Linked DNA regions of Notamacropus eugenii. The protein of the gene in region 1 binds, or shares a complex with, the protein of each later gene. Links are inferred from orthologs where the notes say so. Each region holds a gene or a part of one and is shown on either strand. Other genes may lie near its edges. The genes, in order: CNOT11, CNOT6L and CNOT6.

Region 1 (7,486 bases):
AGGAAGCTGTCCTTAAACCTTTAAGGAAGGGAGAATATTTGACAGATGTAGACTGAGATGGAGACAAGAAAGGGCAGAAAGAGAATGGGAGAAATAGTTGAGATAAGGCTAGAAAGGCAGGCTAGAGCCAAACTGTGGAGAGCTTTGAATAATGGATGTGACAAATTTTATTTGGTAAGCTATAGAATGCCACTCAAATTTTTGAGTGGAAAGAGCTGATGTAGTTAGAGGAGTGTACTAGGAAAAATATACAGAAAGTACTATAAAGGATAGATTAGAACATCCTTAAGGCCAGATGTCATGGAAATCTACCATCTTCATCAAAGTCTGTTCTCAATGTAAAATTTTAAAAAATGAATTCTTGTTCTCATCTGTCCCGGCTTATTCGGAATTCTATACTATTTAAAGTCCTTGTCCTCCTTTAAAAATTCTATTTTTGAATTTAAGAATATAGCTATTACTTTGGTGGCACCTGCAGGATTTATTCTTCTTTTTCCCAATACAGTAATGATCTTCAAAGTCAGAGACCCATTGACTTGTAAAAGATATTCTAGTTGACTGAAGTACCCTGTCGGGGAAAAAAAAAGTGGAAGAAGGAAGGCTACATATTGTGAGATTAATACTGGAATTTCATAAACCACAGCTCAAGAGCATTAGCCAGATCACTGGCAGCCCATGAAAGTTTCCAAAAAGCAAAAGGTGAGTTGTCCATACTGGTGTCACAATTTCTAAGGTAAGGGGTGAAAGAAGAAGAAGGAATATAATATATAAAAGATGTTTTACTTGTTTCCAGTCCCTTCAAATAATAAAAAAAAATGTATTAAGTGCCTATTATAAAATGCATGAAGCATTTTAAGGTTTCCAAATCTGTTGTGTATATGATCTTTGATTCTCACAATGAAACTGTAAAGTTACAGGTACTATCACTCTCATTTTACAGATTTAGAACTTGAGGCTCAGTGAGATTAACTAATTTAGATATACAGCTCCTAAGTGTCAGAGAAAGAATGTGAATCTAGAGCTTCCTGTTCCACTTGAACATACTGCCTCCAATAATTCATATAGGCTTGAAGGGAGAAGGCACCACTCCTACCATCTCTCCTTGTACAAAAGGATATTACATTGGATCTAGGGGCTTTTAGTCCCAGAAAAGTCATCTGTGGACTATAATTTCTGCTTCATACTATTAGGGTCTAAATCTCATAGATGCCAAAGTCCCTCAAATTTTAAATAAGAAGCCCAGATATTGACCAGTTTCCCCCCCCCCCTTTTTTTGAGGGATTAAAAACATTTTTTTTGAAAATTCAATTTGTTTTCAGTTTTCAAGAATCACTTCCACAAGATTTAACTTTTCTCCCCCTCCCTCCCTGAGATAGCATGCAATCTTTTATGTGCTCTACTTGCATTGCTGTGAAGGGTTAAGTGTATCGGAAACAGTCCTCACACACTGTGGCTATTACTGTGTATATAATGTTCTCCTGGTTCTGTTGAGCAGCTTTCCTTAAAGAAAACACCTGAACCTAGCCCCAGGTGATCTATCCTTATCCTTGCTACATAGCTGTTCATTTTATATATGGCATGCAGTAATCTACTTTAGACAAGATGAACTTGAGTATGATCCCTACCTTCTCACCATATAATGCTTAGAATGAAGATTAGACTTAAAACTACAGATAATGAAAATGATTTGAAAACTTTACATAAAAACTATCAAGAAAGAGAATGGGAAAAAGTAGTTCAGCTTGGTTGAGATAAGGCTAGAAAAGCAGACTATTTATTATTCAAACTTAAGGTCTTAATATTTACGGTTAGAAAGTACTTTGGAGGTCTCTTAGTCTCAATCATTTTGGAAATTATTTGGAAACTGAAGTCCAAAGTGGTGAAGCAGCTTGGTCAAAGGTGCCAAAGATAAGCAACAAGCTTGGATTAGAATACTGGTCTAATTCCTAGTCCAGGTCTATTTCCACTAGGACACACAATTGGACAAGTACACTTTTAAAAGAATTCTCTTGAAATCCTCTAACCTGTTTATCCATTCCTCCGTGGGACTTAAAAGTTACAGCAGAGCCAATTTGTTTCATATTAACTCAAATAAAAGTTATTCTTCTCCACTCCAACTTCCACACAGCTGCTAAAGTGAAATTCTTAAAATCTAGACCTGACAATGTCACTCCCTGGCTCAAAAAGCTGGGGTAGCTATTACTAGTACCCTACTATTTTTAGTCTAAAATAAAAACTCCTCCCTTTGGCACTCAAGTCCTTCACAAGCTAGCTTTCCAGATGTTACGTATTTCTCCTTTTTATTCTAGCTATACTGACCTCCTTGCTGAGACTGATGCTCTACCTCCAGACTGTCCACCTATTGATGGAATCTACAACCTCGTCACTTCCACTCTTCTTTCAGAATCTCTACTCTCCTAAATTCAAGGACCACTTCCTACAAGAAGCCTTTCTTGGTCCTTTTGATTGCTAGTGCTTACTCTCCTGGAAGTTACTTTGTATAAGTTTTATATTTAATTATATTTGCATTTGTTAATTTCCCAAACGAATACAAGCTCCCTGAAAGCTTCATTTTATTTCGGGATCCTCAGTGCCTGTGATAGTTACTAATAGGTAATTAATAAATAGGTACATAATAAATGCTTACTGACAAATCCTAAAACTATACAGCAATGCTTTTTGAAGCATACTTTTTTTTTTGCCCCTGATGGGGCAGCACAACTCCTCACTGTCCAGCTGAGAACACCGGTGGGGGGCGGGGAGGCCATGACAGGCTCAGCCGCCCAGGACACAGAGCCAAGGGGGGCCATGACAGGCTCAGTCGCCCAGGACACAGAGCCAAGGGGGGCCATGACAGGCTCAGTCGCCCAGGACACAGAGCCAAGGGGGGGCCATGACAGGCTCACAGCCCACTAGCACACCTGCCGAGATAGCCCCCGAGACGCTCCAACGCCCCAGGACACGCTCCGCGCCGGAGCGGGGCCGGGTGGCAGTTCCGTACCTGAGAGCGGCGGCCTGTCCGGTTCCTGGCCGCCCCGGCCCGGGGACGCCGGGTTCAGCAGGTGTGCGAAGCTGGCCGCGAAGGGGTTGGCAGCCAGCGGCTCGGTGCGGTACATCTCCCAGAGCAGGTAGAGCGCCGTGAGGCGCTGCGCCGCGCTGGGCAGCAGGTCCGGCTGCTGCAGCAGCATCACGAGCACCGAGCCCAGGCGGAAGTGGTCCGCCTTGCTGAAGTAATGATGGAAGGCGCTGGACAGGCCCTCGAAGGTGCTGCCGCCCCCGGCCTCCTCCGAGATGATGCCCAGCAGGCTGGAGAGCTCCTTCGGGGTCAGACTCATCCTGCCGCCGGGGCCGCCGCCGGCGCCGCCGAGCCCGGGGCCGCAAGAGGAGCCCCCGGGGCCGCCCGAGCCGGGCCCCGCCGCCGCTGCCTCCTCGCCCCCCCGCGGCTCCGAGGCGGCCAGGAGACTGCAGGGCGCCGGGCTCCCCCCGCCGCCGGGCATCAACCCCCCCGCCGCCGCCGCCTCCGGCCCCGCGCCCCGGCCCTGGCCTGGCCTAAACGCTCGGATCCGTCGCCCCCTCCGCTTCCGTCCAGCACTGCCGCCCCCACTGACGCCCAAACTCCCGCTCCCGCTGCCACGGCCGCTGCCGTCCTGCCGCCGGTCGCTGCCGTAAAGACCCGCCGTTAGACGACAGTGTCGTAAAGCATCGCTCCTACGGCTGGGAAGAGAAGAGAGACAGGCTGGAATCGAGGAGACGGAGAGGCGGAGGGGAGGAGGAGCTAGGGAGATTACGTAATGGAACGGACGTGCTCAGAGTGAGGGGATGGAACAGAGGGGATAAGGTTGGTTGGGAAGAGAGAAAGTAGGAGATGGGGCAAGGCCAGAAAGAAAAAGGCGGGGTCCTGGGAAGAGAGGGCGAAGGAGTGGGACTTAGGAAAGAATGGAGAAGGTTTGGGACCAGGGGCGGGGCCTCGGGCAGAGGCGGGGGCGAGTCGGGCCCCTTGGTATCAACGACTTCCTCCATTCCGAGGGAAGAGGAGAGCGGCTGCGCAGTTGGGTGTGCCAGTGGAGCCGCAGTTGAGCGCCCCTGTTGGCTGGAAGAATGATTTGTCATTTTTTTTCCTGTCTTACTGTTCCGTCAGCTCAGTCACGTCCAACTTTCTGTGACCCCATTTGGGGTTTTCTTGGTTTGCTATTTTCTTCTCCAGCTTATTGGAAACTGAGACAAGCAGGGCTACACAGCCAGTAAGCGTCTGAACTCTACGAGATTAGTCTTCCTGACTGCGGTGCACCACCTAGCAACTGGGGAAAATGCGTTAATTTTGAGAGAACCAGGTCCTAGCTGGAGCTAAACTCTGCCACCGGCTCACTCTTACACGCTGTTGTGAGGCTTGCGGATGGCCCTCCTTCATTAATGACAGCTGGATCCTGGAGCTTCCTACACTGGCATTGGGAGGGTTTATACCCATCTTACAGTGAAGGACGCCGAGAGCCTGAGGTCACCCTGCTCAGTGCCGACACCGTTACACAGACCTCTTGAGGCCCTGAGTTGGAGGCAAGAAATGTGACCTCAGTAAACCTCCCCACAAACCCTGTGCAGCAGGCGTTATTCCCATGTTACAAATGAGGAATCTGAATCGCAGAGAGCTTAGCTGCTTTGTCAAAGTCAGGACATTTATTACGCCCCTACTATGTGCCAAGCTCTGGAGATACAAAAAGAGGCAAAAGACTTCTGGCTGTGAGGAGCTCACAATCTAATGGGGAAAATATGCAAATAAGCCATACAGGATAAGTGGTTTGTCCTTTGTTGCAAGGGAGTTGGACTGAAGTGAGACAGGGCTGCGCAAAGTCACCAGCCCCATTCTCTCCTCCAGAGCCCTCTGGGTCCAGTGCCAAATGACTGGCGGTGGCCCCTGATGTAGTGGGAGATCTTGGCCTTTTTTAATTAAGGTCTTTCCCAGGTCTCAGTCTGTCCCAGGCAACCCCCAATCAATGTTTAAGGCTAGTGAAGAAATGAGACCAAAAATCAGCCGCTTTCACCTACTCAAAAAAAAATCAGTCTGGGAGGGGAACACTCTCGGGGTTTTCAGTTCAGAACAGAAATATTGCTATTTACTCTGAGCTATAAAAACTGCAAACAAGGCCCAAGAGAGACTTGGACTAGGACTTACTGTTGGCCAATCAGTGACAGCCAAAGTGATTTGGGTTTAAGGCATGGTCAAGTAGCTCAATTGGAAGCCCAAGGGGTTTTATCAAAGCCAGTTTTTTTCTTTCCAGTGCTGTATTTCAAGAAATCGTAAATGAAACGATATGGGGCAAAAAATATTAATTGTCTCAGTGTTTTTTTTAAATTTAGAATAAATAAGTAGAGAAGAGAAAAAAAAAACTAGCCTGTAAACTCCAAGATATCTTGCAAGGTTTCAGCAATCAAAATTTACATTCCTTTGGCTAGAGCACCCACTGGATAAGTAGGAAGTAAAAGAAGGCAGGTAAGTGGGACAGTAGATGGAGTGCCCAGTCTGCAGTCATGAAGATTTGAATGTGAATCCAGCTTCAGACACTTACTAGCTGTGTGACCCTAGGAAAGTCACTTAACCGTATTTGGCTCAGTTTCCTCATCTGTAAAATGAGCTGGAGAAGGAAATGGCAAACCATTCCTGAACATCAAGGAAGTAAATTATTGAGGGAAGGCACTAGAATTAAGAGCCTTTCTGAAAGATTCCTTATGGAAGATGGGATTTTAGTTGGGACTTGAAGGAAGCCAGGGAAGTCAGTAGGTGAAGATGAGGAGGGAGAGCATTCCAGGCATGGGAGATAGGCAGAGAAAATGCCTCAAGCCAAGAGATGGAGTGTCTTGTTTTTGGAAGAGCAATGAGGCTGGTGTCCCTGGATCATAAATTACATGGCAGAGGATAAGGCTTGAGAGGACTGGAAATTTGGGGGAGAGAGGCAGTAGCTTATAAAGAACTTTGAATACTAAATAGAGGACTTTGCATTTGATTCTGGTGATAGGGAGCCACTGGAGTTTATTGGGGATGGGGTTTAATAAGGTCAGATATGATCTTTAGGAAAATAACTTTGATAGCTGTTTGGAGGATGGATTGTAATAGGGAGAGACTTGAGGAGGGCAAACTCTCCAGCTGGCTATTGGAGTAGTCCAGAAATGAAGTGATGAGGGCCTGCACCAGAGGAGTGGTAACGTTAGAGGAGAGAAGGGAACATATACTCAAGAGATGTTGCAAAGCTGAAATCAATAGACCTTGAGTACAGATGGTGTGTAGTGAGTGGGGAGTGAAAGATAGTGAGTAGACTGAGGAGATTGAGAAGATATTGCCCTGGATAATAACAGGAAAGTTATGAGGTGAGGGAGTATTTACAGGGAAAGCTAATGATATATTGAATTAAAAGTGTCTCCTGGACATCAAGCTGGAGATATCTGAATGCCAATTGGAGATGAAAAGGCTGGAAGTCATCAATGTCTTGATTGAAATTTAACAAAAGGTAAACTGAGGCAATTTGCTGAGCAAGACATCATTTATTAATAGGGTGCAGAACCTATTAGTAAAGGGTTCTTATGGTCTGCCTCCAATGGTGCCAAAAGAGTGCATTTAGAGTGACAGGGCTTTTTAAACCCAGGTGTGTCTTTCTTCTGACTGGCCTTACAGTACATCATTTGGCCCTCCCCTGATAATATTGCTATTTCATTACATCTGACATTGTGGCAGTTGTAACTGATGGACATTTTAATGAAGAGGCTGTAAATAGTTCTCAACACCTTCCTATGAGTTCATTCCCCCTTTCCCCAAGGGAAGGACCAGTCCTCAGGTGAAAGGGTTAATGTGAAGCTAGGGCTGGCTTTCAGATGTGGCTGATTACCTCCTCTCTGACACTTAGAGGAGGCTAGTTGTTTTATGAGATCCAGCTGCTTCTAGTAATCTTAGCTACAAAAACATAAGTCATCTCAGTCAAATATCTCTGATTGGGTCTCTGTCAGGTAGACCAGGTCATCCCTAACTTTGGTCAGGAAAAACAAGGGCTCAAGCTGACTTCTGTGCTTATGGGGTAAACAGAGGCAAGGTGCCCTGCCCAGTCTGGTTACTGAGCAGATGCTTTGGGGCTGGGAGTGCTCATCTTAATCAAGATCATACCCTTCAGAAACGGCCTGTCTTTCAGAAATGGGATCTGTCCAAATGAGGAAAAGCATGTATCACAGAGAAATATTAATTATTAAATAATATAGTACAATATTAATTTTCCTCAACAGAGAGGTTGGGGAAAGATAGGTAGATCTGAAAATTATCTGCTAGATATCAGGCAGGAGACAAAAGCAGCAAAAGATGGAAGGCACATAGTTAGAAGGGAAGATAGGAGGTCTCATTTTACTCCTCCTCTTTGGCTCCAAAGGCTAGGCAGGAGATGCTGCAGCAGGTGATGGAAAGCCTGTCCAAAGGGAATGGTGCTACTTTTCACACCCAAGCCTGGAGATCAGG
Region 2 (8,024 bases), on another chromosome or scaffold:
GCCCCAGGAGTCTTCAGTCACATTAACATCCTAAGTTTAGTGAATTTCCCTTTCCCAAAACTTAAACATTTTTGTCTTCTAGATTCACAGTAACTACAATGAAATGTGCTACCCAAAAATGGAAGGGGGAGAAAAGCATTTACAGAATGTAATTGAAACAGCTTATTTAAAAATGACTTATACTAACATACAACTAATTCTAAGATCAAAACATTTTGTTCATTTAACGATTGTTATAATTCTTTGTTATTAATAGTTTTGAGTAAGGATTCTCAATTCAGAATCTAAATCTACTCTAGTTAACTTTTTAAAAATTATATAGATTAACAGAAGTCTGTTGCAATTTATAATAAAGCCGCTCCAGCACGCTGGTCAGAAATGGAACGCAAAAATAGTATATTGCAACCTCAATGGTTTTCTGGATTAACAAAAATATCAATTAATGTTAATGCTACTAAGGCCTAGTCTTGTTTTGAAAATCACTGGTGATTCCAACACAATAATCTGTTTACATTCCCCCTACACTAATAACCTTTCTTCTCCCCCTTCAAAAACAAAAAAAGTACTTTTCAATTAAACAATCAGATCCCTGAAATTCAGCTAATTCAACCGAACTCTTCTAACAATTTACAGAAACTATTAATGTTCATTCGATTCCTTATGGTATACATACCAAAAAGGACAAGTCACTTTTAGCTTTCCTGATGAGGTAGGGAAAGAGGAGCAGGAAAGAGAAAAGGAATACGCCATCTATTTAGTTACCAGGTACTGCGCTAATCACTTTTTACAAATATTATCTCACAACTTTTGGTGTTGTACAGTTGTTCAGCCATGTCCAAATCTTTGTGACCCTATTTGGGATTCTTTTGGAGTGATTTTGCCATTTCCTTCTCCAGTTCATTTTATCAATGAGGAAACTGAAGCAAACAGGGTAAAGTGACTTGCACACATACCAGTTACACAGTTAAATGAGTCTTCCTGACTCCAGGCCCAGTATCCACTGTGCCACCTTGCAACAACTCCCAACTACCCTGTTATCCCCATTTTACAATGAGGAAACTGGGGCAAACAGCGTAAGAGACCTACCCCAAGGTCACATAGCCAGCAAGTGTCTGAGGCCACATTTGCACTCAGGTCTTCTGATTCCAGGCCCAACACTAGCCCTCTTGCCACTGCTGTCTCTCATAACTGAATGATGGTATATTTTCAATAAAAACTAAAATCTTTCAGGATTTTCTGACTCAATGACCGTGAAGGTGAAATAGTGCAATTACCTACATTATTTCTCTTCTTGATGCATTTGTACATTATGGTATGTAAAAATAAATTATTTGTTATTTTAAACTTTTAATCAGGCAGCATTGTATAGTGGAAGATCTGGATTTAGCTCAACCTGACATAAACTAGCTCTGTGATCCAAGAGTCAATTAAACCTCTCAGAGCTATAGACAATTATTGGTCTAAGAGTAAGTTGCAGATAAGGTACCAGATCTCTGCATTGGAGAGAGGTAATTTCCTCACCTGGGAGTTTTCAATGTCACTGACATCACAGGTTCCATCCCTATACCTTAAGGGCAGCAGTATTCTGATGTTTTGGTCTTAAGACCTCTTTACTTTCTTAAATATTAAGGAACTTCTCCACAAAGAACTATTGTTTATGTGGATTATATGTATTGATAAACACTTCAGTAGTAGAGTGAAAAGAGTTTTGACAGCATGGACCTCCTGAAAGACTCTCAAGAGTCCCGGTTAAAAATCAATTTTTCCACAAAAAATAAGTAAAAGGAATAAGCAAACCAATAAATGGGGGTCCAGAAATAGAAAATGTTTAAAATTAGACTTTTCTTCATCTGGAAAAGGGTGTTAAAATAGACTAAAACAATACTTTAAAGACTTTCAGACGACCTTCTAAAAAAGTTAAGTTCACAGAAAAATACATGCTAATCCAAATATGACAACAACTAAATCAGTACAAGCTAGGGTTTTTTCCCCAAAACTGCTACCACTTCACAACCAGATAAATTAAAACTGATACTAGGTTTCAACACAGTATGCGACAGACACGAATACTAGCATTCATACAACGTGATATATAATACTGTCAAGAACTTAATTCAAACCCTGCCTCAGATGCACAAGAGCTGCATGACTCTGGGCAAGTCACTTCGCCTCTCCTTGTTTCCTTAACTGTAAAATGAGGCCAAGAGCACCACCTATTGGAAGGGTTGTTGTCAGGCTTTCTACAGAGCTGGGCACCGTGCCCGGCACACAGTAGGTGTTTTATAGGCATATATAAATTCTTCATTTCTTCCCTATTCCCCCAATAAAGAGAACATGACTCAGGCCAACAATAACTAGCCACTGCTACTTGGGGAGGAAAGCTGTCTGCGGTGCGGTAAGCCGGACGACACACTAAACCTCTAACACCAGTGGGGTCTCACCCACAAGGTCTGGGCATGAAGCCCCCGGCCCCTCCACAGCCCCGAGAGCCGGGAAGCGTCTTCACCACAAAGCTCGGACCCGGGAGCGGACGCTGACCACCGGCCCCGAGGGAGGGGCGGCAGAGCAGGTGACACGCACCCCGGGCGTTCCCCCTCGGACCCAGGCCGGTGCTTGGGGCACTTTAATCTCAGCACGCTGCGAGATTGGACGAGAACCGAGCAAACACCACCGTGCGCACGGAGGGCCCGCCGGGGCGCCCGCGGGGCCCGGGCCTCGGCCGCCCCTCGCGCCCCGCCGGGCACGGGGGCTCCGCGGGCACCAAGCCCCGAGGGCTTCCCAGAGCGCGCTTCCCCTTCGGTCCCGCTCTTCCGCTCCCCCGCGCCGTCCGGGCGGTTAGGCCGCGGTGCTCCCCGGGCCCGCAGACACGCGTGCAGCAGCCACGACGGCCGCGGCCCGCCCCGGAGGCTGGCTACCTGCGCCCCCGCGCCACACACGCACCCACACGCACGCACGCGGGGGGTGTAAACAGACAGCAGGCCGCCGCCTCCATTACACGCCCACGCGCGCTCCCCGCCGGTCCCAGGGCCAAACCGCCCTCCCGGCCCTCCCCCGCCCCCCGCTCCCGCAGCCCGCCGTACCTCGCGCCCTCCTCCCCGGCTGCCGTGAGCGCCGGGCCCCGAGCCGGGCACGGAAGGGCGGGCGCGCGCGCTCCCCGCGCCCCCCCCGCCCCGCTCCCCTCCCCCGCCCGGCCCCCAGCCCCCGCCTCACCTGCATTCAGCGCGCCGGGCTCCGGGCGGCGGCAGCGGCGGCGGCGGCGGGGCAAGCGGGGGAGGCGGCGCGGCGGCGGCGGCGGGGACGGCGGGGGCGGCGGGGCTGAGGGCAGCCAAGACATGCAGGCAGCCCGCCGGCGGGGACAGGCACCGGCCGGGGGGGGCGCGGGGCGGCCGGGCCGGGCCGGGCCGGGCCGTGGGGAGGGCCGAGGCGGAGGCCGCGGCGGGGCGGCCCCGCTCCCAGGGGCTCGCGGAGGCGGCTCGGCGGGGCCCGGCGGCGCGGGGCTTCGCCTGCTCGCTGAGGCCTCGGCGCCCGCCGCTGTCCGGTGCTTTCTCGCGCTCACGCGCCGCCCACGTTCTGAGTCCTCAGACCGGGGGAAGAGAGGAGGCGACCCCAGCGCGAGCTGCGGATGGAGATTCACAACAAGGTGCCGTGTGTGGGAGGAGGGCTGATTGACGTGGAGGGGCTGGCGGGAACCGGGCACGCCCCCGTGGCTCGGCCGGGGGCGGGGATGCGCCTGCGCACGGCCTGGGGGCGGGGCTGCGCCTGCGCGCAGGGGCGGAGAGGGGGCCTGGCCCAGCCTCTTCGCACCTCCTCCCTCCCGCCCCCCCCACGCCGACCTTCCGGTTGTTTGCAAGCATTGCGGGGTGTACGCGCGCCCGGGGAGGGAGGGGGGAGAGGCAGAGCTGAGATCACCCCGCCATCTATTTTTACTGCGAACTGTTTACCGCAGTCCCTTCCGAGGCGGGCCTCGGCTGGAAGGGCCGCGGAGGGGGACGGCTCCCGGGCTGCGTGAGGGCCCGGGATCGGGCTGGTCCCAGAGATGCTGCCGCGGCTGGGATGGGCCGTGGGAAGGGTCGTCTTACCTGTGGGAGCTCCCCCCACCTCTCCCTCCCCCGGGAGCGCAGGAAAGTCTGCCCTGCCCGGCCCTCTGATCCCCTTAAGTGTCGAGATAAAGCGCCTGCAAGGGCCAAGATTACCCAACCAAGTCAAGAAGCACTTATTGAGCGCCTACTGCATGCCAGGCACCTCCGAGCCCTGAGGATGCAGACAGCCCCTGCCCCCAAGGAGCTCACAGGGGAGACAGCAGGCAAGCAGCATCCCTTTAAAGTCAAGAAGCACTCATTGAGCGCCTACTGCATGCCAGGCACCTCTGAGCCCTGAGGATGCAGACAGCCCCTGCCCCCAAGGAGCTCACAGGGGAGACAGCAGGCAAGCAGCATCCCTTTAAAGTCAAGAAGCACTCATTGAGCGCCTACTGCATGCCAGGCACCTCTGAGCCCTGAGGATGCAGACAGCCCCTGCCCCCAAGGAGCTCACGGGGGAGACAGCAGCCAAGCAGCATCCCTTTAAAGAAGCACTTATTGAGCACCTCCTGCATGCCAGGCACCTCTGAGCTCTGAGGATGCAGACAGCCCCTGCCCCCAGAGAGCTCACAGGGGAGACAGCAGGCAAGCAGCATCCCTTTAAAGTCAAGGAGCACTCATTGAGCACCTACTGCATGCCAGGCACCTCTGAGCCCTGAGGATGCAGACAGCCCCTGCCCTCAAAGAGCTCACAGACCAAAGGGAGAGAAAACATGCCAACTGTGCACAAACAAGCTGCATACTGGGTGATGTGAGTGGCCCAATAAAAATAATTTTCATTCATTTTCACTCGTTTGTGAGTGGATGTCTTTTTCTTTTTCATTGTTTTAGTTTTTGACTGACCAGCTCTTTTAGGCAATACCCCATTATGGTAAATCAGTTTAGGGGCATAATACTGCCATTCAATTCAGATCTGAATTTAAGCACATTTTGGACGTCAGCTTTGGAAGGTTAATGCACAGGGACTGTTGTGATGTTACTTAGTACACTGGTCTCATTGTGTTTCTTTCAGTTAATCTTAAACTTTATTATTAGGTGTAAAATGCATTTGCCTCTCTTCATTAATAAAACATGCTTTGCAGGTGCAAATCATTAACCAGAGCTCAAGGAATATCATGTCCATCATTGCTCAGGTCCAACTGTTCCATATTTTGCTTTCTTTCAAGCATGTGTTATGGAAAAAGCCCTCAGGACAGAGACGGGAACAGACACTTTTTCCCCATTACTGAACTTAACGACTCATCTTTTAGGTTCTTGGAGCTACCAGATGATACTAGTGTTGATCCAGGAAAATTAGCCCTCCAATCCCCAACAATCTAGTTTGAAAGAATAAGAAATATCACTGTTTGGATTTGCAAACAGCAGATCTGAACAAATCATTTCAGAACTGGAGAATTGAATTCCCTATTCTCTCTAAACCATTGCCACACTTCTCATTTTAAAAAGAAAAACAGGACAAAATACACATACCTGAAAGCTACAGGTCAGATTTTGTTTAATCTCATCAAATTTTTCATTTGTCATGGGACAGAAAAGTCAGGCTCTGACCCCTTCTCACTCTTAAGCATTGTAAGTAATTGTTTTGTATCAGCTAAAATAGGAACTACTAAGTGGTAACTACAATAGTTAATAAACTCTTCCCCATAAAGTCTTTTCATTGCCAACATTTTCATTCACCATGTAACATCTAGCCCACCTAACCCTGTGAACTGACAGGCTGTCTTGGAGAAGATTGAGGAAGACAAGTTGATTATCCCAACTGCAAATGCAAATATCCATTACATTTTTTCTTAATAGAAGGCAAACTCCTTGAGAATAGGGTCTCAAATTCCATTTCTCTCTCTTCTCAATCCAAAGTCACTCCACAAATCAGGAGTCATATCTCCTTCATGTATGCTATGTGCAATGTCGTGGGCTTGGAGGTCTCTCAGCCGTTCAGAAGTCATTCATTGCATTGTGGGTCTGTCCTTCAGGGGACCCGCTTCTGGCATTCAAATGTTCTAAAAGTAATTACAAAGTGATTTTTAAAGGGGCAATTAAGATAGTCAAGGAAGGCTTTCCTGAGAAGATACATAAAATCGCCCATAGTTCATCTGAAAAATTCTCCAAAGTATGCTTACTCACAGGCAAACTTATTAGGTTTCTGAACTATGGGGAATTGATTCATTTGCTCTGATCCTTTACAAATGATCCTGGATTTTAGTGGAAATGCTCTGCAGCATTCTAGAGCTTGATGAAATCCCTATAATGTCATTCACAAAGAGGAACTCTAGAACAGGGGTCTTCAAAAGGAGGTCCATGGCTCAACCAGTGTGTGGTCAGCCAAGCTCCCTGTAATAGACAATCCTTGTTTCCAATAGTACACTTTCCATTATCCCTGAATGCTCTCCCAATCAGCCCCTTTCCCATTCTGGACAAGATCCTAACCTCTTTGCCTTCTGATGGGCATCAGCCACTCTCCTAGCACCCACAGCAGAGCTGGTGACGAAACTGGGAGGTTTAGGGAAAGTCTTCATAGAGGAGTCGGTTTGTCAAAGGGAAACTAGTGTTCTGAGAATTCACCTTTCCAGGGGAACTTTGAGTAATGGTAGGGACTAACTTTCCACCTGTCAGATCTAGTTCCTAGCATCTAGTGTTAGTTAATCAATAATTAATAATAAATATAGATTCATTTGGTTAATATTAATGAATACAAATGTATTTGGTGATTTCTTTTCCAAAACAGTTTGATTTTTTAAAAATATCTTGACTAAATTAACCAGTTCTTGTAGTGCTGTGAAAATGTGCTGTGTATTTCATTCTTTAGCTCTGAAATGGTATCTTCTCTCCCTTGTTACTTTCCTCAGTTCTCGTTAGCTACATGGCTAATGTAGCATTCCGTCTGGGGCCACTCCCCCAAATCCACAGTTACCATGGCAGATTCTTAGCTGGGAAATTGCTGTCTTGGATTCCAAAGATAATCCAGTGCTACCTGTTCTCTTTACATAGTCGTTCCAGAGTCCCCCCATGTATGCTCTGTATCAATAGTCAGCCAGTAGTAGCCTCCGTTAGTTTTTAGAAAAGGTGTCTACAAAGATAATGTTGGTACAAAACATACTTCCTACTCTCCAAGTCCAGGGAACCCTCATCCTCATTGAGAATGTCCATGAGTCAGTGGGCTTAACCTCAGAGTAAAACTGGATTGAGGTACATGAGTAGAGAACATAAATGATATAGGAACACCTCCCAACTCCTTACCCTGTAAGTCCTTTTCTCCCTTCTTGGAGTCCTCCTGAAGGCCCACTTAGGTCAACTTTTCCTTTCAGCAAGGTGGGTTATTGAGCCAGGCTCCCAGGATCTAGGCCTATCTTAGGCCTATCTGAAGTTTAAAGCCCTCAATTCTCTCTACTGAGAGCAGTCATCTTTCCTGAATCTCTCAGTCCTTGGGGTGTCTCACTACTCCCAGTTCAGGTAATTCTGTAATCAGCCACTGCCATACCTGTTGATACTACTGCCACAGTAGCTGCAAACTTCTAGCGCTTTCCAACGTCACCAGATCACTTCCCGCCCACTACCATCTTGGGATATTTGTTTAACTCAGATCAGAAAGAACAAATCCAAAGTGATGGCAATGGCTATGGCCATGTGCTCACAACCACCGTACCTTGGTAAATACATGGCAGCATCCCTTCTCCCACCTGACTGTGAGGGGCAGCTCAAAGCCAACCTTACTCACTCATAGCTACCAAGGAAAGAAGAGAGGGAAGGAGGGCCTTCTGTTCATTATTTCCACTTTGTCCTTATACGTAGCTAGTTTGTGTTTAGTTATTTGTGTGTTGTCTCCTCTGTTTGACTGTGAGCTGCTTTGTATCCCTAATGCTACTCAGTTTATTGACTGACTGACTGACTTCCCTCTCATATATGTGTGTGTATGTGAATATATATATAATATACATATGTGTGTAT
Region 3 (8,249 bases), on another chromosome or scaffold:
CTAAGCTTTTGGTAATACAGAGACAAAAGAAAAACAGTTCTTACCCTCTAGGACTTTACATTCCAACTGGAGAGATGACATGTACACACATAATCATAGAACATATAAAAAAATAAATACAAGCTAACTTTCAGAAGGAGAGGCCTAGCAGATCATGTTGGAGGTGGGCACCTAAGCTGAATTGACCCTTACCTATATAGAATTAGACAAATTTGACAACATAATAAGGAGCACGGGTATTCATTTAGAGTAGATTGCAATCTAATTAACAAGGAATTAAAATAAGCAAGCATTCTATCATCCATTTCTTACTCACCTTCCATACCTCCAGTCCCACAGGGTAATAGCCTGCTTGTATCCACCTCCTCCAAGCTGCCTTATCAGCACAATGCAGTAAAACCAGGGAACAGGGAAAAGGTGTTCGTGACTCACCTAGGGCATGAATACTGAATTCTTGGTGCTTGAGAAGACAAGAAATCAGGGATTCATAGAGGCAGAAGTGAGGGAGAAAACGACAAAAGTGGAGAAAGGCAGAAAGTTGAAGGGGGAGAGCAGTGGTAAGGAAAAAGGAGAGGAATAGAGGAGAAGAAAAGGGGAGGGTGGAGAAGGGAGGAAAGGGGAAAGGAGGAATAAAGAAACTTGGAGAAGAGAAGAAAGGAGAGAAAAAAATTCAATTTAACTCAATAAGCATTTATTAAACACACACAGAGTTGAACTGTGATGCTTTAAAAAAAAGATTAGGTCTCCCTATCTTGCCCAGGCTGGAAGAGGAGCCATTGACCACCCCAGGTCCGTTATTATAATTGGTTCAAGAGCCTTGACCTGCTCAGTTTCTGATGAGCACATGAAGCCTGGTGGACTTCACTCCTAGCAGCTTACTACATTAATATCAAACTTAATTCGGACACCCAATTAGTTTAGCCTACAGTGTAGAACTGCAGTGCTCAAGAGATCTGCCAGTCTCAGTTTCTCCTACAGCAGCAGAGGGCTTTGATTACCAAACTTCAGCTCTGATTCTGAAGAGAAAGAGGTGATATACTAGATGCTAGGTACTAGGGATAGAAAGATTAAAGGAAAAAAGTCCTTTGCCTTCAAAATTAAAATTCCAGCAAAGTATACAGCAGTAGCAGATGGATAATAAAAACTCATTCAATTGAAATTTTCCTTGAATCCTAGTGGGAGAGAGTACAATATGTACACAGATAAGTAAAGGCAAGATCATTTGAAGAAAGTGAGCATTAGTGAGAAAGGAAGGAAACCTGCCATTATTGAGTATCTACTAAGTACCAGGCACTGTGCTAAATGCTTTCCAAATAATACCTTTTGATCCATCCTTACAACAAAACTATAAGGTAGGTGCTTTTATTATCCTCATTTTACAGTTGAGGAAATTGAGATAGAGGATAAGAAACTTGCCCAGGGTCACAGAGCTACTAAATGTTTGAGCCTAGATCTGTCACTAGTCTGCCATAGGCCTTCTTATAGGGGGTAGCATCTGAACTTGGCCTTGAAAGAATTTAAGGATTCTAAGAGGAGGGGTAAAGAGGGAAGGCATTCCAAGAATAGGAAACAGCCTATGCAAGCCATGGAGGTAGAATATAGGGTGCTGAGTTCAGGGAAATAAGTAGGCTGGTTTGATTAGAATATAGAGTACATGAAGAAGAATAATGAAAAATAAGACTGGAAAGGTGGGATCTGAAGGGCTTTAAATATCATACTGAGGAGTTTATTTTAAAGGCAATAGGGAGCCACTGCAGATTCTTGAGTAGGTTAGTGATGTGTTCAGTCCTGTGATTTAGGAAGATTGGTTTGGCAGCTATGTGGAGAGTAGATTGAAGAGAGGTAAGAGTTGGATGTAGGAAGACCAATTAGATTAGGTGAAAGGTGATGAGGACCTGAATTAGGATATGCATTAAGTCCTTTTCGGGAAGATGGTCTTATGAGATAATGTAGAGGAAAATCAACTAGATTTGGCAACTGATTGGATATAGGGGATGAGGGAAAAGGAAGAGTCAAAACTAGGACGTTGCAAAATTGGGTGATTAGAAGAGTGGTGACACTTGTCAAAAATGAGGAAGTTTAGAAGAGATGTAGGTATGAGCGGGAAGTTAATGTGGTCTTTTGTAAGTATGTTGAATGTGAGATGCTTATGGGACATATTTTTGGAGATATCTTGCAGGCAACTGGTGATAAAGGACTGGAGCTCAATAAGAAATTAGAGCTCTATCTATAGATTTGAAAAATCAACTGCATTGTGATGATAACTGAATCAATGGGAACTGATAAGAAGGCCCAGGATAGCATCTAGAGGAATACCTATGGTTAGGGGGGCCAATCATGGAAGATGCTATATCATAAAAGAATGAAAAAGAATGGTTAGATGAGAAAGAGAACTAGGAAAGAGCTGGGTCATGAAAGTTGAGGGAGGAGACAGTATACAAAATCACGAAGTGGCCAGAAGTGTAAAAAACAAAACCAAACCCAAATAAACAAACTGCAGAGAGGTCAAGAAGGACGAGAATGACAAACAGCCATCTGACCTAGGCAAGAGCAGTTTCTGTATGGTGGTGGGGTTGGAAGCCAGATTGGTAAGGGTTGAGAAAAGGGTGGGAGGAAGGTGGTGGAGACAATCAGCTATTTCTAGGAATTTAGCTATGAAAGAGAGGAGAGATATAGATAGCTTGAAGTGAAGGGGTTCTTTCTTTCTTTGTTCTTTTCTTTTAAAGGATTAGGGAAGACAGGGCATACTTAGGAAGGACCTGGAAGATAAAGATAGACTGAAGATTAAATAAAGAGGATGATTGAAATAAGGATATAGAACCAAGGGTACCCAGAGAAGGGTCAACTTTGGAGAGAAGAGGTATCTCTTTGTCATACTGCAGCAAAGGAACAGTGAATGGGGGATGATATAGATCAGTTTTTATATCTAGAAAAGGAAAAAAATGGGGGTTCTCCATGGATGCCTCTATTTTCTTAGTAAAGTAGGAGGCACTGTCTTCAGCCAAGGTGTGGTTGGTAAAGGACAGAGTAGAAGGAGATTTAAAGAGAGATTTGGAAGAGTATACTCTGTGAAGACTATAAGAGAATGTAAGTCAGAGAGGAATGAAAGAATTGTCTTACAGCAGTGAGGGCTGGGTTGAGGTTATGTAACATGAATTAATAGAGGAGCTTCTATTTAGCATCATTAGAATGGGAGTAGAAAAGGTGGGGATTGGGGTTAGTCAAGGTGTGAGTGGGGACAGAGAAAAAGAAACAAGGGTAGAAGAAGAGCATACTTAGATTGTAAATTGGAAAGGAGTAGTTCACTACATTGCTAAGGTGGGCCAGAGAAGGAAAGGTCCACTGGGAAAGCAAGGAGATGACACAGAATAGTTTTAGGTGTGAAGTTCAGTGAGGAATGGAAGGATAGGGAGTTATGAGATAAGAAAGAATTTCAGATCTGGATAATAGAGTTGGAAGAATTATGGGAGATAGGGAGAACAAGTTTATGACCTTTTTTGTGCAGCTGAGGTGAAGCAAAATTACAGTTCTGGGAGTAGAGGCTGATAAAGTGGAAGGTTCATGTATGTGAAGAAATAATAGCAGACATTAGAGTCCCCAAGCATCAAGGCAGGGGTACAGGCAGAAAGCAGGTCTGTGAGGCCCCTTTAGATGAAGCAGAGGGAATGACCTGGGGGCAATAGCCTACTACGAAGAATCTGGATTGGGAGATAAAAGGAAGCAATAATAATTTACATTTATAGGCAGCTTTCAGGTTTACAAAGTATTTTCTCTAGTCATCTATCAGTCATTTAGCATTTACTAAGCACCTACTAAGCTCCAGGCTATACAGGAAGTAGGGAGTGAAAGCTATTATTTATCCCTATTGGACAGAGGGAGGAAACTGAGGCTGGGAGGTGAATTTACTTGCCCAAGGTCAGGGGGCTAGTAAGTGTCAGCTTCAGGTTTCCTGATTTCTTTTCTTTCTGCTACACGTGAGTAGAGTGTGTACGGATGGGACAAAACCAAGAGGGTGGGGGTGTGAGGGGATAAAAGAAAAAAGAGAAAAAAAGAGGTTGGGGGGCAGGAGAAGAGAAGAGGAAGAGGAGGAGGAGGAAGAGGGAGGGAGGGAGGGAGAGAGAAGAGAAGAGAAAAGGGGAGGGGAGTGGAGAGGAGATAGAATAAGGAGAGGAGAGAGAAGAGTGGTAGGAGAGAGATAAGAAAGAAGAGGAGACGAAAAGGAGAGATAAAGAGGAGAGGAAAGAACAGAACAGGAGAGAAGAGAAGGAGGAGAGGGAGAAGAAGGGAGAAGAGAAAGAGAAAAGGAAAGAAAGCCAGAAAAGGTGGAGAAGAGAAGAAGGGGAGGGAGCGAACGGGGCAGGCCAGCTCAACCGCAGCCCTCTGCGGGGGGAGTGGGGAGGCAGAGGCGTTTGTTGTGCTGTTCCCCGAGCTGGTCCCCGAATGGTCGCGTCCAGAGCCCGCGGCCAATGGGCGGCGGGGATGTTGGGAGCCGGGACCGCTGTGTGGGCTCTCGCTGGCTGGGGACGGCGGCCGCCGCCATGATGCTTGTTTGCTTTCAATGAAAACGAGGGGGGCGAGGAGGAGGAGGCGGCGGTGGCGGCGGCGGCGGCGGCGACGACGAGGAGGAGACGGCGGCAGGGAAGGCGAAGAGGGCGGTGGCGAAGAAGAAGCGGCGGCGGAGGGGAGGCGCGGGTGGAGGCAGTAGCGGCGGCGGCCGGGCTCCGGGCGGGCGGCCGCGGCGCCCTCGGAGGGAACAAAGAGCCGCGGGAGGCTGAGGCTGAGGCGGCGGCGGCTGAGGCGGGAGCGGCGACGGCGGCAGCGGCGGCGGCGCGGCGGCAGCTGGGGGGACTGGTATGGTGGTTCCAGAGGTCACACCCCGCTGCACTCACAGGGAGGAGGAGGAGGCGGAGGAAGGAGGCGAACCCCGAGAGGTAAGCGCTCGGGAGCCGGGACCCCCCAGCTCGGCTTGGGCCGGCCGGGGAAGGAGCCGAGGCTGAGGAAGGGTCGGGGCAGGAGGAGGGTGGCAGGCGGTGGGGGGGAGGGAGGGGGCAGAGGGGGAGGGGAGCCGGGACGGGCAGGCGGCCTGGGCTGCCCTCGCGGGGCTCCCGGGCACTCAGGCTCCTCTTCCTGACCCCCAGGATCCCCCCCACTCCTGGAGCAGCTGTTCGCCCGGGAGAAGTTGTCTTGCCCCGAAACTTGCCATCCTTGATCAGCCCGGGCCGAGGGGCGCACGTACGCTCCGCGCCCCAGGCTGGGCACCCTGGATGTCTTCGCTGCCACCTCCATCTCTTATTCCTCCTCCTCCCCACCTCGAGCTCCGTTTCTTTTCATTCATCTCAGCCCCGGGGGCGAGTTCTCTTTCTTTTCCTCTTCCCCCGCTCCCCATCAGCGTGGAAGCACCCACACTTCAACAACAACAAAACCACAACTTTTTTTTTTGTCCCATGAAAGTGGGGAGGAAAACCCCCACACCGCGGAGCTGCTCGTTCAAGCAGAGCTGTCGATTGTTGTGATAAGAATCTGCAACAACTAGTGTCGCTGCAGCTGCAGGTCGGGATGCTGAGGCCTAGTTGGCACCAAAAAAAGCCACCACGGCAGCAAGCAGTCAGAGGCTGAGTCAGAAACCATCAGGAAAGAGAGTTAGGGCTTTGATTGACAGAAGCGCAGGGAAACCGAAGGGAGGTGGGTGGGACTTAAGATGACTAGCAGGTAAGTGGCTGAGACGGGGAGGCTTACACATGCAGGAAATCAACAGTAGAGGATTGCTTCCAATTCCGTTCTTTGGGATAACTCCAAGAACATGCCTGCTTCTTGGGGATGTTTTGTTTTTTTTTAATCAGTGAGTAATTTTGTATCCAGCTAGTAGGAGAAACTAAGTAGACTACGTTTGTAACAGGATGAAATAATTTGGATAACCTGTGTAACTTTGATTTTCAGGGGTAGACATTGTATTTGTTTTGGCGTCATGTGGAGATGGGTGTATGCATGTTTTATATTAATATTCTTGTATCCGGTGATTCATGGGAGCAGATTTCTTTAAAAAGTGATTAACTGGAACAGTAATACTAACTTTAGAACATTTTTATCGGCCCTAGCGGGTTAAAGCTGGAAGGACCTAAAAGATCCTATCTGTAGTCCAAACCCCTTCATTTTGCAGGCGAGGAAACTTAAGTGGCCTGCCCACAAGGTCACATAAAGAATTAGTGGCAGATCCAGACTACAAGTTCAGTGTTTTGATTCAGACTTTAGAACACAAGTTTTGCATGCAGTTGGAACATAAGGTAGTTGAAACATATAGTGCTGTATGGTTTGCAGAGTACTTAAGTTTTCACTTGCCTTTTTCATAACAACTATGTGAGAGATAAATGCTGTTATCTCTATTTTGCAGAGAAGTAAAGATAAAGTAAATTCCTTGTCAAGGTCATACAACAAATAGTTTCTCCAGGTGGAATTTTTGAACCCAGGTCCTCCTGGGTTGTATTTCTGTGTGTTGGGGTAATTTGTCTCTCTAGTAGTATGAGTTAAGTTTTAAAAGATAGCTATCTATTATTATGCTAGTTTGAATCCACTTTCCCTCTCTTTTGAAATTGGACCTAGAATCAAGAACTGACTTATGAAAACTAATTCAGAAGAATTAACCATATTTCAAATGGTCATCTTGACATTCTGGGATTTGCAACGAGAAATAAATCATGTGTTACATGAGTATGTCCAAATTTACATTAATTTTGTTTACGTTGCTCTTGGCTGTATAGGCCCAGTAAAACTTTTCTTTTCACTTTGGATTCTCGAAATTTTTAGATTTTCTCTTTGGACTCTGATTCACAGAGGAATAAAGGTGAAAAAAAAATTAAGTATGAAATATGACTGAGGTTTTTAAAAGCTTATAAAAAATAATAAAACTTATATGTAGAAACAACAGAAGTTATGTCTCTTACGAGGTACTTTGGAAAATTCTGTATTTTAGTGATGATTCTGTTGCTTCAAACATTTTTAGATTATCTCTGGGGTTTTTCTTAATTCTACATCTAGTTCTAAATATACTCAAGTGGTAGCAATTCTTCGTCATTGAGTTAGAATTGTAAAGTTGGGCTTTTTTTTAGAAAGAGCTTTAAGACGCCTAAAAGCATATAATCTGACTTATTTTACCGATGAGAGCGCTGAGGCCCAAAGATATTGTGACTTACCTAAAGTCACATTAATTAGTATCACATTAGTCTTTTGATTCCTAATTCAGTATTCATTCTTTCTACCTTTTGAGGGTCAAGTTATTTTCTGAAAATAGCCAAAAGTCTCTCAGAGTCACTGAGTGTGATGGATAAGGTAGGTAAATCAACTGGGTAATTCCGTTTTTTACTCAGAGGTGTGACTGTAAAAGAACAAGACTATTTGTGTCTAACTGATTTTGATAGCAATTCCAAATGTGGCTTAAGCTATATTAGACTATATCTCCCAGTGTATCTGCTTAGGATGCAATCTCATTACATTTTATCCTATATACTATATTGTCAAGTGCAAACACTTCATTAACTGATTATAAAAGTCCAGAAGTTTCTTACTGCCCATTGTTCAGTTAATCAGGCAGAGTTGGTTAGGAAAACTTCCAACTCTATAATGAAATTTTATTCAGTGGAAAAACCCTGAAATCATTTGCTAATGTAGAAGAACTCATTGTTTCTTGTTATATATATATAGTTTTTAAATGCATAAAATTATATTGCCATTGATACATTGAGGTTTGTAGATACATGTATCCTCCATGTATTTATGAACTTATAGATTTATAGATACATATATCCTACATGCAATACTGAAAGAAAAAAAACGTTTTAGTAGGGGCCATCTGGCACCATTAGTTTTAATGGCAATAATTTTGGGATTTTGGGGTAATTATATTTTTAAATTTTCTTGTGAGTTAGTTGTCACAAAACTGCAGTTGTAGCTCCAGACCTCTAGTTGTCAAGAAAAGTCATTATTACTGACATATTTCTTTAATTTCTTCCTCAAAAGAAGTTTAAATTTGGAAAGATGGCCGGGATGGGAAAAGGGAGTAAGCTAGTTATATAGTGAGACTGAGTGATAACTCAAACTGTACAAGTGCTTACATAATGTTAAAAGACCTGGAGGGAAGGTCTCCCACTGAGGGGAATGCACTCACTTTTCTTCATCTCCCTTCCCTTGCCCAGGAATGATTGTTTTGAAAAGACATAAACATAAGTTGCATAGATAAAAAGGACTACATGACTTGA

What was found.
Region 2: CNOT11 (region 1) and CNOT6L share a complex: the UniProt entries of both Homo sapiens proteins name them as parts of the CCR4-NOT complex. The link is inferred for Notamacropus eugenii from reciprocal best matches to the Homo sapiens genes CNOT11 and CNOT6L.
Region 3: CNOT11 (region 1) and CNOT6 share a complex: the UniProt entries of both Homo sapiens proteins name them as parts of the CCR4-NOT complex. The link is inferred for Notamacropus eugenii from reciprocal best matches to the Homo sapiens genes CNOT11 and CNOT6.

Annotation. Positions count from the first base shown.
Region 1 is NC_092877.1:174,373,736-174,381,221, forward strand, and holds the start of CNOT11 (CCR4-NOT transcription complex subunit 11), read right to left. Parts: upstream 3,536-7,486; 5' UTR 3,498-3,535; coding exon 3,002-3,497; intron 1-3,001. UniProt on the Homo sapiens protein: Component of the CCR4-NOT complex which is one of the major cellular mRNA deadenylases and is linked to various cellular processes including bulk mRNA degradation, miRNA-mediated repression, translational repression during translational initiation and general transcription regulation.
Region 2 is NC_092878.1:148,694,290-148,702,313, reverse strand, and holds the start of CNOT6L (CCR4-NOT transcription complex subunit 6-like), read right to left. Parts: upstream 3,312-8,024; 5' UTR 3,211-3,311; intron 1-3,210. UniProt on the Homo sapiens protein: Has 3'-5' poly(A) exoribonuclease activity for synthetic poly(A) RNA substrate.
Region 3 is NC_092872.1:415,725,492-415,733,740, reverse strand, and holds the start of CNOT6 (CCR4-NOT transcription complex subunit 6), read left to right. Parts: upstream 1-4,808; 5' UTR 4,809-4,931; intron 4,932-8,249. UniProt on the Homo sapiens protein: Poly(A) nuclease with 3'-5' RNase activity.